Oryza sativa Japonica Group: one gene and its partner. Each later gene encodes a partner of the first gene's protein in a complex. Links are inferred from orthologs where the notes say so. Each region holds a gene or a part of one and is shown on either strand. Other genes may lie near its edges. The genes, in order: PWWP domain-containing protein 1 and WD-40 repeat-containing protein MSI4.

Region 1 (6,445 bases):
CGTCGGTGTGGCGAGGTTGGTATGGCTGGTGCTGATGGAGAGGCGGCGGCGGAGGGAGTGGCTGGGTCACCGGCGGGCGAGGAGGCTGCTGCGCTGGACGCGCCGGCGGCTGCAGGTGGGGGTGCTGTGCCGGGCGCGCCGGCGGCTGGAGAGGCGGTGGCGCGAACCCGACCGACTTGGTGGCGCTCTTGGCGAGCGGCGCGGCGGCGTCTCCGCCGCCGCTCGCCGGCGCTGCAGGTGGCGGCGGCTCGAGCTTGCTGTCCCCGGCGTCGAGCATGAACTTCACCCGCGGGGCATCACGGAGCGCCGCCGCCGACGGCGCGCCGTCGTCGGTGACCGTCTTCTTGAGGATCGACTTGGGCTGCTGCCCAACCACCGCGCGCGCCGGCACGGCCCTGGACAGCGGCAGCGGCGCGCAGTTGCCGCCGGAGGTCCCGGGCCTGAACGGGGCCGTCTCCATGAGGCGAAGCTCGGAGCGCTGCTGCGGAGGCGGAGGTGCAGCGTCGGCGGCGAGGTCGCCGTCCGACTCGACGCCGCGGAGGTAGTAGTTGGGCGCGACCTGGCCGAACATGGTGGTGTTGGCGCGCGCGTACTTGAGCGCGACGTCGGCGTCGGACTTGAACCTGTAGATGACGCGGCACATGTGGGACTTCCAGTAGACGCGGATGCCGTCGACGTCGAGCGGCCCGAACCGCGCGAACCTCGCCTTGAGGGAGGCCACCGATGGCAGCGTGGTCTTCGGCGGGAACTTCATCATCAGCGCCGTCGGCGATGGCGTCTTGATCGCCGGAGCCAGAGCCGGCTCCTTCTCCTTCTTCCTGGCAGCGATCGCATCATTCTTCCTCGCCGCCGCAGGCGCCGCGGCGGCGAGCTCCAGACCGGCGGCCTTCTTGTCAGTGGCGAGCGTCTTGATCTTGTTGAGCTTGGCTTTCTTCTTGGTGGCAAGCTCCTCCTGGCGATCAGACGGGGCGCGCTTGACGCCGGCAACCTTGGCGGAGGCGGCGGTGGTGTCGCCGGGCCTCGCGGCCGGCTTCTTCTTCGCCGGCGGCTTCTGGCCGTCGGCGGCGGTGGCGGCATTGGGCTTAGAGGCCTTGTTGTCCTCGGGTGGATCGTTCTCATGGCTCTTCTTGAAAGACTTGGAGCGGAAGGCGAGGAGGAAGGAGCGAGCTTCGTCAGAGATGCTGCGGCGGCCGGCGACATAGGAGGCAACGAGAGGAAGGCTTTGAAGCTCGGATATTACCTGCTTCAGATCATGGTCTACCTTAGCAGGCAATAACCCCGGCTTGCCGGCGGCGGCGACCGCCACGCCGTTGAGCTCGGCGAGCTTCTTCTTTTTCTTCTTCTTAGGCTCGCCGGCAACGCCGCCTGCGGCGGCAGCGGCGGCGGCGTCAGCGGGTTCCTCGCGCTCGCGCTTGCGGGCGGCTGCCTTCTTCGGCTTGGTCGCCTTCTTCGGCGCCGCGGCGGCGGTGGCGGCGTCCGTGGGCGCGCCGCCGTCGCCGACCTGCCCGGCGGCGGCGGGAGGAAGCGCGAGCGGGGTGGGTGGCGCGGACAGCAGCGGCGGTGGAGTGCGCCTCTGCAGCAAGAACTCCTCGTCGGCGGCGAGGGTGCTGCTGGGGAGCGGCGGCGTCGGGGGATCGGAAGGGAACCCCGGCGGGACGTCGTCGAGAGCGGGGGCCATGGGCGCCGCCGGGAAGGCGTCCGGCATGGACGGCGGCGGCGGGGCGCGCGCGTCGTCGCGGCGCTTGAGCAGGTACTGGTCCTTCTTCTTGGCCCTGGGCTTCATCGCCGCCGCGCTGGGCATGATCTTCTCCATGAGCCTCGCCGCCGTGCTGGCCGCGCTGCCCTTCCGGCGGCGGCCGCCGGGATTCTCCGCCGCCTTCTTGCGGCCCTTCGCCGGACGACCTGCAAACGCATCGTAGCCACACATCAAGACCAAGTCAACGCAAATGGTTTTCCATTTTTATATATATGAAATATAAAACAACAATAAACTAATTTAAATATTGTGATTGAGCTAGTGGAAATTATATCAACATTAAAATAGACGAGTGTTTTTGGATTTGAAAGAAATAGGATTTTTGGAAGAAAATGCAAAGTACTATACTAGTATAATAAAAATGAAAAGAATATATGTACTCGTATATACTGTACATTACAATCCTGCAGAAGTTGTATTTGAAATATATAAAACAACAATAAACTAATTTAACTAATGATATTGTGATTGAGTTAAAATAGTCGGGGTTTTTTTTTGTTTTGAAAGAAATTGGATTTTTGGAAGGAAGAAAAATGTAAAATACAAAATAATACAAGTATAATAAAAATGAGAAGAATATGTACAGTCGTATATATACTGTACAGTACAATACCTGCAGGAGTTGTATTTGAAGACTCGCCCTGATCATCCTGGGGTTCCTCCTGTGTTTTCCGGTCCCACCAAACACGTCTCTTGCCTAGAGAGATTTAAAAAAACATCATGACATTTCGTTCGTTTATGAAGGCTTTGACTGCCACATGTCTCAACAAAAAGAAAAAAAAATTAAGCCTTTCACTGATACTGTGTAACAGAACACGTGCAAGTGCAATTCACTCTTGGGGGAAAAAAGAAGAATGATGAGAAAGCACGAGCTGGAGAGTAGTAAAGGGAAATGCATCCTGATTTTTTTTCTTTTTATTTATATTTATTTGTTACTCATCTCCTTGACAAATCAATGTGTATGACACACAAAAAAGACCTTGCAAAAAGAAAGAAAGAAAGAAAGAAAGTGTAGCAATGCCAAAAATTAAAAAAAGAATCAGCGACTGGCGAGGATAGATGGGTGACTCTTCCAGCGCGCAATCCAGACCGTCGGTAGATCCATCCTAGCCGTCCATCCGTGTCGGTGGATGCAAAAGGTGAGTGCTGGCGACTCTGCTTCTCCTGGGATTCTCTCTTTGGGCCAGGTTAATATCCAACCAAAGAAACAGTGATTTTTTTTCTATGGCGAAAAGAAAAATATTATACTCCCTCTATCCCAAAACAATAATACAGAATGTGACATATCCTAATACTATAAATTTAAATAGAATATGTCACATACTGTATTAGGTTAATTTATTTTAAAATTTAAATAGGATAGTCACATAATGTGCTAGGTTAACTTATTTTGAAACGAATTGAGTATGTAGTGGCTTCTCTTTCTCTCTCGAGCGAACACAATGTATCAGAATTTTTTTTTTAAAAAAAAGAAAATGTGCCTACATACGTGGACGCACATGCAAATTGCAAGTAATGACGTACGACCACTACCAATGCTGCTACTACTACGTGACCGTCACCTATATTCTTGGTCTTGGGATTTGTTTGTGGCAGGAAGAGATTCGCCTTTGGTCTCATTTGCCATGCAAAGTGAGATCTTCTTCTTGAAGGGAAATCCCTTCATTCCCTTCCATGAATTATTATGTCTAGTTGAAAAATAGCTCCAGAGAGAGCCAATGAGCTCCTTTAACTTTCTTCTTTGTCAATTGATCATTATCTAACGCAGAAAATTGGAAAGGCTAAAGAGTAGAGAGGCAAGGATTGGTTGATCCATTTTGGGGGTTTAATGCTTCAAGAGCTTTTTTATTTAAGCCAAGACAGGGTGACAGTCCGACTGACACGGCAGGACAAAATTCACCAGTGCTTTGCTCCTGGACGGCACAAATGCTGGCGTCTGTCTCGCTCATCGGCCACCAAATATCTAACGGAGGAGGAGCATATTCTGTGATGCCTCTCCAACCCCCATTGGCTCTCCACGTCTTTCCAAGCTTCCATGTGACTCGGTATCACCATCTCGCCAAAAGAGAGTGATGGAGAATTCAGGTGGAATTTGTAATTTAATGTTATTCATGTCCATTTACTGAAATAATCTTATGTGGATTCGTTTCGAATTTCGGATGAATTTCAACCTAAGGGGTGTCTATATATTCAATTCATGGAATCTTTGCTTTTTCCTAGGAAAGAGGAGAATTTGTCCGGGCAGGAAGAAGCATCGCCTAGAACAAGCAAAACCGCGGGGAGCTATTTCTTGGTGGCAACCGGAGAGGTTCAGTTTTTTTGTGCACTGTGATTAGCTTTTCAAAAATAAACTAAACTAAAAGGCTCTAGTGTAGTACTCCCCCGTCCCAAAATATAAGGTACTAGGATCAGATGGAGCACATCATAGCACTGTGAATCTAAACATCATGTTCAAATTCATAGTAATAGGATGTCTCCCATCCAGTCCTAACATCTTATATTTTCGGATGGAAAGAGTAATAAACTAAACTAAACTGAACTGAAGGCTCTAGTGTTTCCCTAATCATTCTGTTCTGTGCAAAAGGAACCTATGATAACCGCTACGAACTCTGAAGGCAAAGCAAAGTTGCTGGAGGCATCATTTTCAGAAAGGAACTAGCATTGATTCTAGGAACAAGTTTTGTTAACAAAAGAACGAGAAGAGAAGTTAATTCCAGGAATTGGACAGCAGCAGCAGCAGCAGCAGCAGCAGCAATAGCTGAAGGCATCATCTTAAGAAAGGAACTAGTCGAGTTAAGAAAAGGACGAGAAGGGAAGTAAATCACTGGAACAGGACAGCAGCAGCAGAAGGTAATATGAAGAGACAATTCCAATATGAAGGATTTGTGATCACGGGAAGAATGGAGGGGGGCTTCTAACCGAAGGAGCAACTTAAACACACTAGTGGTGGTCAAGAACATGGACAGGAGAGGCAAAAGATTGATCCCCCTTTCAGTACCCTCACTATTTGATGGTGTTGGAACCTCTGATCCTAGTGCAAGCTAGATGCACCTTGCTTTACTCCAGGCATGGATCTCTCAGACTTATAAACTTGGAGTCTGCAAAGAATGCTTCGTTTATATATTTTTTAGGTTGACGATACATAATTATATGATTTCCTTTCTTGTGATTGTTATGTTATGCGCAAATCTTGAGAATTACCCTTTTTCATAAAGAACAGAAATCCTAATCATATTTACCGCTTCCGAATGGTTCAGCTAGATGCATCTAAAATAACAGCAAAGAAACTTATACGTAGTTAATGTTCATACATTTTATACATGTTTAATAAATATAATAACCAACAAGCACGGCTAACAAATGTTGTAGTCATACGTATCTTAACTTGGTGCCTTCCTTCACAATGTAAAGGTGAACTCAACCACCTTACCTCAGAGCCTGCTTCATCAATGAACAAGGAATAGTGCATCCAGAACAAAACATGTTATGCAGATGAGAAACCCAATCACATTCACTTCTCATAACTCTGTTTTATCAGGTACATTAACCAATATTTATAGTAGTCCTTTATGATGCATGACTTTAGTTACGCTTAACCAACAAATGTTGTGTTGTGCACTGCTTGCACATGTCTAAATGCCAAACTATAGGGATGAAAAAAAAAACAAACAGCAAGCATACAATCTGAAGTGCATGGGCAATGAACAGAAAAATGATGCATAAATGTTAGGAAAAGAGAGGACCTCACGATTTCCAAACATATAGCAAGTTAGGAACTGAGGCCTGGCCTATAAACTGCAGCAAGTACTAAGTAGCACGTAAATCTCTAATTGAGATATATGAATAAAAGCATGACAAAACAAAATCACAATCGAATAATAACAGGCCCTAATCTTTTTTATAAAAAAATATTCCTACAAGGTAGTGGGGAAATAAGTTCTCATTGTACCCTTAGTAATTGTTTGGAAAAAATAAGATATCAAATTGGAGATCATGGCAATACCCATGAATCTACGACAACTCAAGATTGGTTGCTGCAATGCATCTGTCAAATTTTACTTCATTTTGAATCAATTCTATAATAATCGTGTGACAAACCACATCAACCCCAATGAAACAACAATCATGCAACAGACAGATCAACAAAAATATGAAACAGAAAACTAATTGAACCAGATCTACACTTCTATTCAGAACAAAGGAATCAAACTTCAATCTATATCTCAGCAATGGTATTACGGTTAGCTTAACGAGCATGTTTGAGTACATAGCAGCAGAAACAATAGCATAGTAGCATACAGCGCAGCTAAAAGGATTAATAGGATTGGGCATGCGAGTGAGTATACCTTCTCGAGCTTTCTTCTCCAACGCTGTTTTCGCCGCTTGCGCCTCGTCGTAGTCCATCCCGAAAGCTTGGGCGTAGGTGGGATCCTTCAGCGCGTATCTGGATAGGCGGTAGGCCTCAAGCATGGAGCTCATCTGGACCGCCGGGATGTGCCGCTTGGGCTTGCCGATCAGCTCGGCGGCGTCCAGCTGCTCCACGGCGGCACCCTTCAGGTAGTCCAGCAGCGCCCGCGGATCGATCTTCTCCCGCTCCGCGGCAACCTGCTCGGGGTGGTACTCGGCGTCGGTGTCGAATCCAGGCACGTCGACGAGGAGGTACCTCGGGTCGAGCTCGTGGGGGCGAGC
Region 2 (7,182 bases), on another chromosome or scaffold:
CCTTCCTCCCTTCCGGCGGTTTCCCGCGCGTCTCGTAGCCATCGTCCTCCGTGGAGATCCATTTCGGGCTAGGGTTTTTGGGGGACTGTATCTAGGGTTTTAGGGCGTGGCTCTGCTTCGGTGACTCCAGATCTGTCGCTTGCATGGTGATTTGGCGGGGATGGCAGTGGGGTGAGGATGTCCCGGCCCCGGTTGGGATGTTAGGGTTTTTGGGACGGGGAGGTTTTGTGGGATGCGACTGTTTGTTTGAGTTTGGTGGTGGTGGTGTGTGTGTTTTTTGGGGGGGGGGGGGTGTGGGTCGATTCTTCCGTGTTCATGTAATGCTTGCTGATGCGAGTCTCCCTTCGAGATTTTATGGCTAGTGGGTTGCTGTTCGTCCATTTCTGTCTATATAGTCGATATAATAGGGTCGATTCTTCCGTGTTCATGTAATGCTTGCTGATGCGAGTCTACCTTCGAGATTTTATGGCTACTGGGTTGCTGCTCGTCCATTTTTGTCTATATAGTATATAGTCGATAATATGATTACCTGTTATGTTTTAGAGTTAGATTGTCATGCTTTATCCGTGCCTGTTCTGTGTTGAGTTGTGACATATCATCTTGTAATTCGGTTTAAAGCTGTGCATGTTGGATTCTGTCGTGCTTTTGACCTTCAATAGTGGTTCTGCAACTAACGATTTGATCTTCTCATCATTAATTGTTAACAGGTGGGGACCCCAGTTTGAGAAGGCTACCTACAAGAATCGTCAGCGTCTTTACCTTTCAGAGCAGGCAAGTGCTCCCAAAATAAGTTGTTCTTTTTCTTTCTTTTGCTGTAGGGATGTTTTGAAGCTCAAATTTATGGTGAAGTTTGAATTCAGATATGCAGATGGGTCTTCTTAGCTAGAAAATTTATGTATTCTTAGTTGGATATTAAACTTTAGCATTTGCTAACCATGTGATTGTTGCAGACGGATGGGACTGTCCCTAATACTCTGGTTATTGCAAATTGTGAAGTTGTCAAACCAAGGGTTGCAGCTGCTGAACATATATCTCAGGTTTCCACTTTTTTCAGTGACCCATTTGAGTTTGTAAAATGCAGAATCATGCTACGTTTGAGATGAATGGACATAGCTGGTCCTTTTTGCAGATTTAATTGACCCGAGGTGTCAGCTTCCCATCTTAATGTAATCATTAATCAGAGATGTGGACCTGTAGTACCAACTGATAGTTTACTATGCCTAATCTGTCTTATTAAATTAATAAAAATGTCATAACTCGAACATCTAGATTTGCATGACTTCAGTCTTGTGATAGCGGTGTATGAGACTGCCTTACATTGGCCTTAAAAAGACCTGAATTAGGAATTCCTTGCACTAACTTGAAGTCTGTTTACAATGAAACTGACCGGATGTCTCTTATTTTTTGTTGCAGTTCAATGAGGAAGCACGATCACCTTTTGTAAAGAAGTACAAGACTATAATTCATCCAGGCGAGGTACAAGCTCATTCAATCGTGATTGTTGATTTCTCTTTCCTTAACTTGAGGATCATTGCCTCTGTATGAGATCTTCCATGTTGTGTGGTGCATATATTGGCTATAAACTTTAGTGGTTTAGATGGCTTGCTTTTCTTTTGGAGATAGTGCTTGAGATGTGTCTTTTATTTGTTTAACCCCGTGTCCCCGTCAACATTTATTTAACCCAATCGTTGATGTATTGTTTCTGTTTTACCATGGACACAGGTGAACAGGATTAGGGAGCTTCCGCAGAACAGTAAGATCATTGCCACTCATACCGACAGCCCAGATGTATGCCTAGAACTTTGTAGTGCTGCCCGTTTCTTGTGATCATCAATCCCTAAGCATTTCTGTGATGGATTTGTAGACTGAAGGCTTTTTTGTTCATTTGCAGGTTCTCATTTGGGATGTCGAGGCCCAGCCAAATAGACAAGCTCAACTGGCACAGATGGAGTCTCGTCCTGATTTGGTACCACCTGACTCTCGCCCTGATTTGGTATCTTTTCTTATTTTCATTCTCAACCTATATCATTTTGAGAAGCTGAAATTGCAGCTTCATCTGGTGTATCTGCACACAAGTCCTAAGAAACTGTGTTATGGAATCATAGAATATATTGAAAGGTTTTCATCTTTCATAGTTCGAGTTCCCTTTTCACACTTGTGGCTTAGTAGCTTAAACTGTTTTGACAGATATTAAGAGGACATAAGGATATTGCTGAGTTTGCGCTTGCTATGTGCCCAGCTGAGCCATATGTGTTATCTGGAGGTTAGCAATATTTTGTCTTCTTGTATGTTTAAATCTTTCTAGTTTATACCCCTCACACCTTTTGTATTTATTCACATATTGTTCTGGTGTCAAGACTTTTTTGTGTGCGCATGTGTGTTATCCTTAACAATTACCCCTAAATTATTTTCCGGTTGATATTGTTGACTTTTCATGGTCTTCACCTCTTCAGTGTTCGATTTTGATGTGTGCAAGGGTCCTTGAAGTTGAGAACTGGCTTTGTTTTGTTCTGTTGGATCTTGTACATGTGAGTCAAGATAGGTCCATGCCTAAACTAGCTTGCAGATGGAGGTGACAGCACCATTTTAACGTGCAGAATAACAAAAAGAATAGAGGCCAATCACTAAATTAGGCATATTGATTACTATGTAAACCAGCTGCTAGCTAGCTTGGGTTTGGGCCTAACTTGAATCACTTGCTAAAGTTTATAGACTTGGAAGTTTTGTTGCCAAGTTCAGGGGACACGTTTTTTCTCTCGACTCAATGTGCTGCTGTGATAACTTGGACTTCAATACGAATTGTAATAGGAAAAGACAAATCTGTTGTATGGTGGAGCATCCAAGACCACATATCTGCACTGGGAGATTCCTCGAAAACTGAATCTTCTCCAGGGGCATCAGGAAGCAAGGGAAAAACTGCAAATGATAAGGATAGTCCTAAAGTTGATCCTCGTGGTATCTTTCTTGGCCACGACAGTACTGTTGAAGATGTCCAGTTCTGCCCTTCTAGGTATTGCACCTTCCCCTTCATGTTATTAAATGTTGTCTCTCTAGCATGTGTATATGTTGTTTGGACTATGAGCTTCAGTGGTTTGCATGGCCTAAAGTTTTTGTCTTGGCTAATAGTCGTTCTTTATGATGATAAAACAATAGCAGCTATCATTATTGTGAACATCTGCTGGGAACTTGGAATGCATGCTATATTTTGATATTGTATGATCTATACTTCTATCAATTTATCTTCACAGTTTATTTTTTTTTATTTTTTGAAGTGCACAGGAGTTTTGTAGTGTAGGCGATGATTCTTGTCTTATTCTTTGGGATGCCCGGAGTGGTACAGGCCCAGCTGTTAAGGTGGTGCTCTTCTCCATTTTAAGCAGATTAATGATGCTTTACGTGAAAATGAGCAGCTCAATTCTATGCACCATGTTGAAACTGGTTTATTCTTCATTTCCAGGTTGAGAAAGCTCATGGTGGTGATGTTCATTGTGTTGACTGGAACCTCCATGATGTTAACTATATCTTAACTGGGTATGATGGCATGAAATGTTTCTAAATTCTAAATAATATGTAACATGTTCTTTAGTGTTCATTTGGTACAAGAAGCCGTGGATACACTTCTTGATAGTGGGTTTAGCTATTTACACATTTGAGTAAGATGGTTTCTTTTCGTATTCAGTTCTGCGGATAATTCTGTCCGTATGTGGGACCGGAGAAATCTGGGTTCTGGAGGAGCTGGCATTCCAGTTCACAAATTTGAGGGTCATAAAGCTGCTGTTCTTTGTGTTCAGGCATGTACAGATATTTATTGTTACTATATTTTTTATGCACATTTGGTTACTGTCGTTTATTTTTTTTGTGCCTTTATGCTATAATTCAAACCTTGTGTGTTTCAGTGGTCACCTGACAAGGCATCTGTATTTGGAAGCTCTGCGGAAGACGGCTTCTTAAATGTGTGGGATCATGAGAAGGTATCTTTCTATACAATTCGTTACCATTTCAGTCATCTCTGTCATGGCCCTGCAGAAAGTTTGGAATTGGGATGGGAGTTCATGCTCCATTTGTCCCCTTCATTTCATGTACTTTTTAATAGCTTTAGATTCATAAAATTCTTTTGATGCAGGTTGGAAATAAGAAAAATCCCAACGCACCTGCTGGGCTTTTCTTTCAACATGCTGGTCATAGGTATGCTATCGTATGATGAAATGTAAAATTTTCCTTATGTGTTGTAATATGCGTAACTCAATACCATATTCCTTCAAATGCTTAATACCACATCAGTTGGCTTTTTATTCCTGTCACATTTACGAGACATTCGTTTTTACGACAACTTTAGGTTGCATCACTGTGCATTGCTTTTCTGTTTCTGCAATGAGATATTTTTCCTAAGATATTTTCATTAATTAGTTTTGCAAAATTGAAGATGGGACTTGAATCCTCTTTGAACTGGTGTTTGACTTATGCTGAGAGACACTTGTGCAATTGCAAATTTGAACTTAAGAAGCCTAAGACTTAGAGGGATAAATCTTGATTATGGTGTACTCTGTATCTTAGTTGGTAAGGCCATTATAAAGTCAGCCTGTGCTTTCTCCACCTTTGGAATAACTGTTATGGTTCAGAACAAATGGATAATCAGTACATTTGTAAGTAGATCATATTTCAGTTTTTCAATAGATTTATGCTACAGCATATGCATACAATGTTAGCTCTTTTTAGTTTCCACATGAACTGGGCACTATAATAAATTGAGGGGAAGATGTATTAGATCTTAAGGAATGATACAACTGTTATCAAAGTGATTGCTGTTGATTTTCATTGTATGTATTCCATAAATAACGTATTTTGTGATATTTTTATTGGCAGGGATAAGATTGTAGACTTCCACTGGAATTCTTCGGATCCTTGGACTATTGTGAGTGTGTCTGATGATGGTGAGAGTACTGGTGGAGGTGGAACATTGCAGGTGTGTTTCTTTATTTTTATAGTGCCAGACACAAAATGGGACTGTACTCATATTTCATTGGAATAGTGACTGCTACCATGTTGTCTTTTATCTGATATTATACGTCAGTTGTTCTTATGCATATTTTATTTGTGTAGATATGGCGCATGAGTGACCTGATATACCGTCCAGAAGATGAAGTTCTTGCAGAGCTGGAGAACTTCAAGACTCACTTGGCCAGCTGTGCTCCAAGGAGCTGAATCGTGTGACTATCTGTGTAACCCAGTCCTGTAATAACTCTAGTAGGTTTCTAATTTCTTGTCCATTTAGAATGTTCCTTTCAAATATTGGTTATATCCTCTGGTGCGGAACCCAGGCTTGTACCCTTCAAGTGCTTGTGCGACTCTTTTACCTTACTGTATCGACTCAAATCGGTAAGCTAGTGCAAACACAGCAGAGCAGAATCTCTGTGGGCAGATTATTTGGATGCTAAACATTGTTCTGGAGTCTCGTATTGGACCTAGTTGTATTGTTAGCCTGACTTGGTGACTTAATCAGATGGTTCTTCAGATAGATCTGTCCAATAGTAATGTAGCCTTGAATACGTCTGCTTGGGCTATTCCTTGCTTGTGGTATATCGTTGCACTGGATACCCCAGTGGAAGCAGTTTTCCCGCCTCTAAATCTTGTCGGATTTGAACATTTGGTCCAATGCCGCGTTGTTCTTGAGGTCGTGCGTTGTGCATCTGAGTTCATTGGTATGGTCACAAATCCAAAATATAAGTGTGCTTGAAAGTCATGTTACAACGTCACGTGGGAGCTTTAATTTGGACTATTATCCTGGTTACTCAATTGTCAATCACGGCCGATAATTGCCTCATCACCTCATGTCTCGGATGGATGCATTTAAATTGATGGGAGTCCTGTGCCCGACATGTGCCTATGAATATTATGCTGGGAGCTCATATGCTGCGGGACTTCGTCTCGGCAGCTCTACTGACGTTAATAAGTGCGCGGTTGGTTGAGTCAGGTTGACCTGCTTAGGTTCCGATCTGGCCACTGGATGGATCAGAGCAGGTCTCGCGGCACACCGGCACGTGACGTGAAGCAAGGCGCGCAGAGTCTCGCACCAGGTGGGCTGATATCACTAGCTGGACGGTCAATCCACGTGGTTTGTTCATTGCCTCGGAACGGATGTTCATCCGACTGTGCAGACTTGGTGGTGGCTCACCTGCTTCTCCTGCTCGAGCGTACGTTTCAACGCCAACTCATTGCCGCGGTTGCGTCAAAATGATGAAGCGAAATGTGCTTGACGCATTGTTCATCAGCTCATCGCAGTAGTCGGCAAGAGAAATCTCAGTACTCCAACTCCCCGAAATGCTTGTTCTATAGTCTAGAGTAGTAATCTTGTGATTTGTTCATGACACAACTTGACACGGTTTGGGTTTGCCACAGGAGAAGTTTCTGTTTTGGCAGACTTGAGACGATCAACCACTAAAATACAACAGTAAAGTATTGGATAACGGAGTATTACTAAAATACTAGTACGCTGTACACGGCATTATTTCCCTGGAGATGGAGCACCGTGGCCGGTGCAACCGACGCACGCACGCACGGTGACGCCCCTCCCTGCGTCGCAATGAATTGAGGGCTCATGGGCTTGGGGATCTCCAACCTGTCACGGTGGGTGACGGGGTGGTCGGTCGCGAGCGCACGAGGAGGCCCTCTCATACGCACGCCGTTTCTCCCATCCCCCGCAACTCCGCAAGCATTCCTCCCTCCCATCCACCACCCGCCTCCGCGCGCCGCGTGCCCTCAGCCTCCCTGTATATTTACCACGCACCAGTGCACCACGCCGAGCAGGCCAACGCCCAGCTACACCACGCAGTCACATCCGCCTCAACGCACCAAGCTCTTCCCGTGCACGTGTGGTAGGCAGAACGTGCGCGGCGATCTCGACGAAATGGACGTCGCGGCAGACGCGACAGCTTGGCCGCCGGGGTGGTCGCTGGTCCGCGGCTACTTCTCCCCGGCGACGCTCTTCCTCCTGCTCAACGTGGTCATCGGCACCATCGCGCTCACCTCCCGCGCGTCCCACCGCCGCCGCCAACACCACCACGACGAGCACTACAAGGCACAGCACCACCATGACCACCATGATGAGCCGCAGCGCTGCCATGATCAGTACGCTCCACCGCCACCCGCGCCGCTCGAGCGCACGTCGTCGGTCATGGAGCGGCT

The links.
Region 2: PWWP domain-containing protein 1 (region 1) and WD-40 repeat-containing protein MSI4 share a complex: the UniProt entries of both Arabidopsis thaliana proteins name them as parts of the PRC2 (polycomb repressive complex 2) complex. The link is inferred for Oryza sativa Japonica Group from reciprocal best matches to the Arabidopsis thaliana genes AT5G27650 and FVE.

The regions. Positions count from the first base shown.
Region 1 is NC_089039.1:2,825,528-2,831,972, reverse strand, and holds part of PWWP domain-containing protein 1, read right to left. Parts: coding exon 6,103-6,445; intron 5,195-6,102; coding exon of another isoform or gene 5,055-5,194; exon of another isoform or gene 5,019-5,054; intron 4,937-5,018; exon of another isoform or gene 4,341-4,936; intron 4,065-4,340; exon of another isoform or gene 3,977-4,064; intron 3,842-3,976; exon of another isoform or gene 3,713-3,841; intron 2,454-3,712; coding exon 2,370-2,453; intron 1,903-2,369; coding exon 1-1,902. UniProt on the Arabidopsis thaliana protein: Together with PDP2, PDP3 and PDP6, interacts with MSI4/FVE and MSI5 to suppress FLC, MAF4 and MAF5 expression by regulating the function of the PRC2 complex and modulating H3K27me3 level, thereby promoting flowering.
Region 2 is NC_089035.1:30,089,707-30,096,888, forward strand, and holds the end of WD-40 repeat-containing protein MSI4, read left to right. Parts: intron 1-707; coding exon 708-771; intron 772-950; coding exon 951-1,037; intron 1,038-1,413; coding exon 1,414-1,476; intron 1,477-1,722; coding exon 1,723-1,788; intron 1,789-1,891; coding exon 1,892-1,993; intron 1,994-2,187; coding exon 2,188-2,263; intron 2,264-2,808; coding exon 2,809-3,010; intron 3,011-3,272; coding exon 3,273-3,354; intron 3,355-3,457; coding exon 3,458-3,531; intron 3,532-3,679; coding exon 3,680-3,791; intron 3,792-3,896; coding exon 3,897-3,971; intron 3,972-4,123; coding exon 4,124-4,185; intron 4,186-4,863; coding exon 4,864-4,963; intron 4,964-5,100; coding exon 5,101-5,202; 3' UTR 5,203-5,515; downstream 5,516-7,182. Other genes in the region: pathogen-associated molecular patterns-induced protein A70, read left to right, coding at 6,905-7,182. UniProt on the Arabidopsis thaliana protein: Core histone-binding subunit that may target chromatin assembly factors, chromatin remodeling factors and histone deacetylases to their histone substrates in a manner that is regulated by nucleosomal DNA.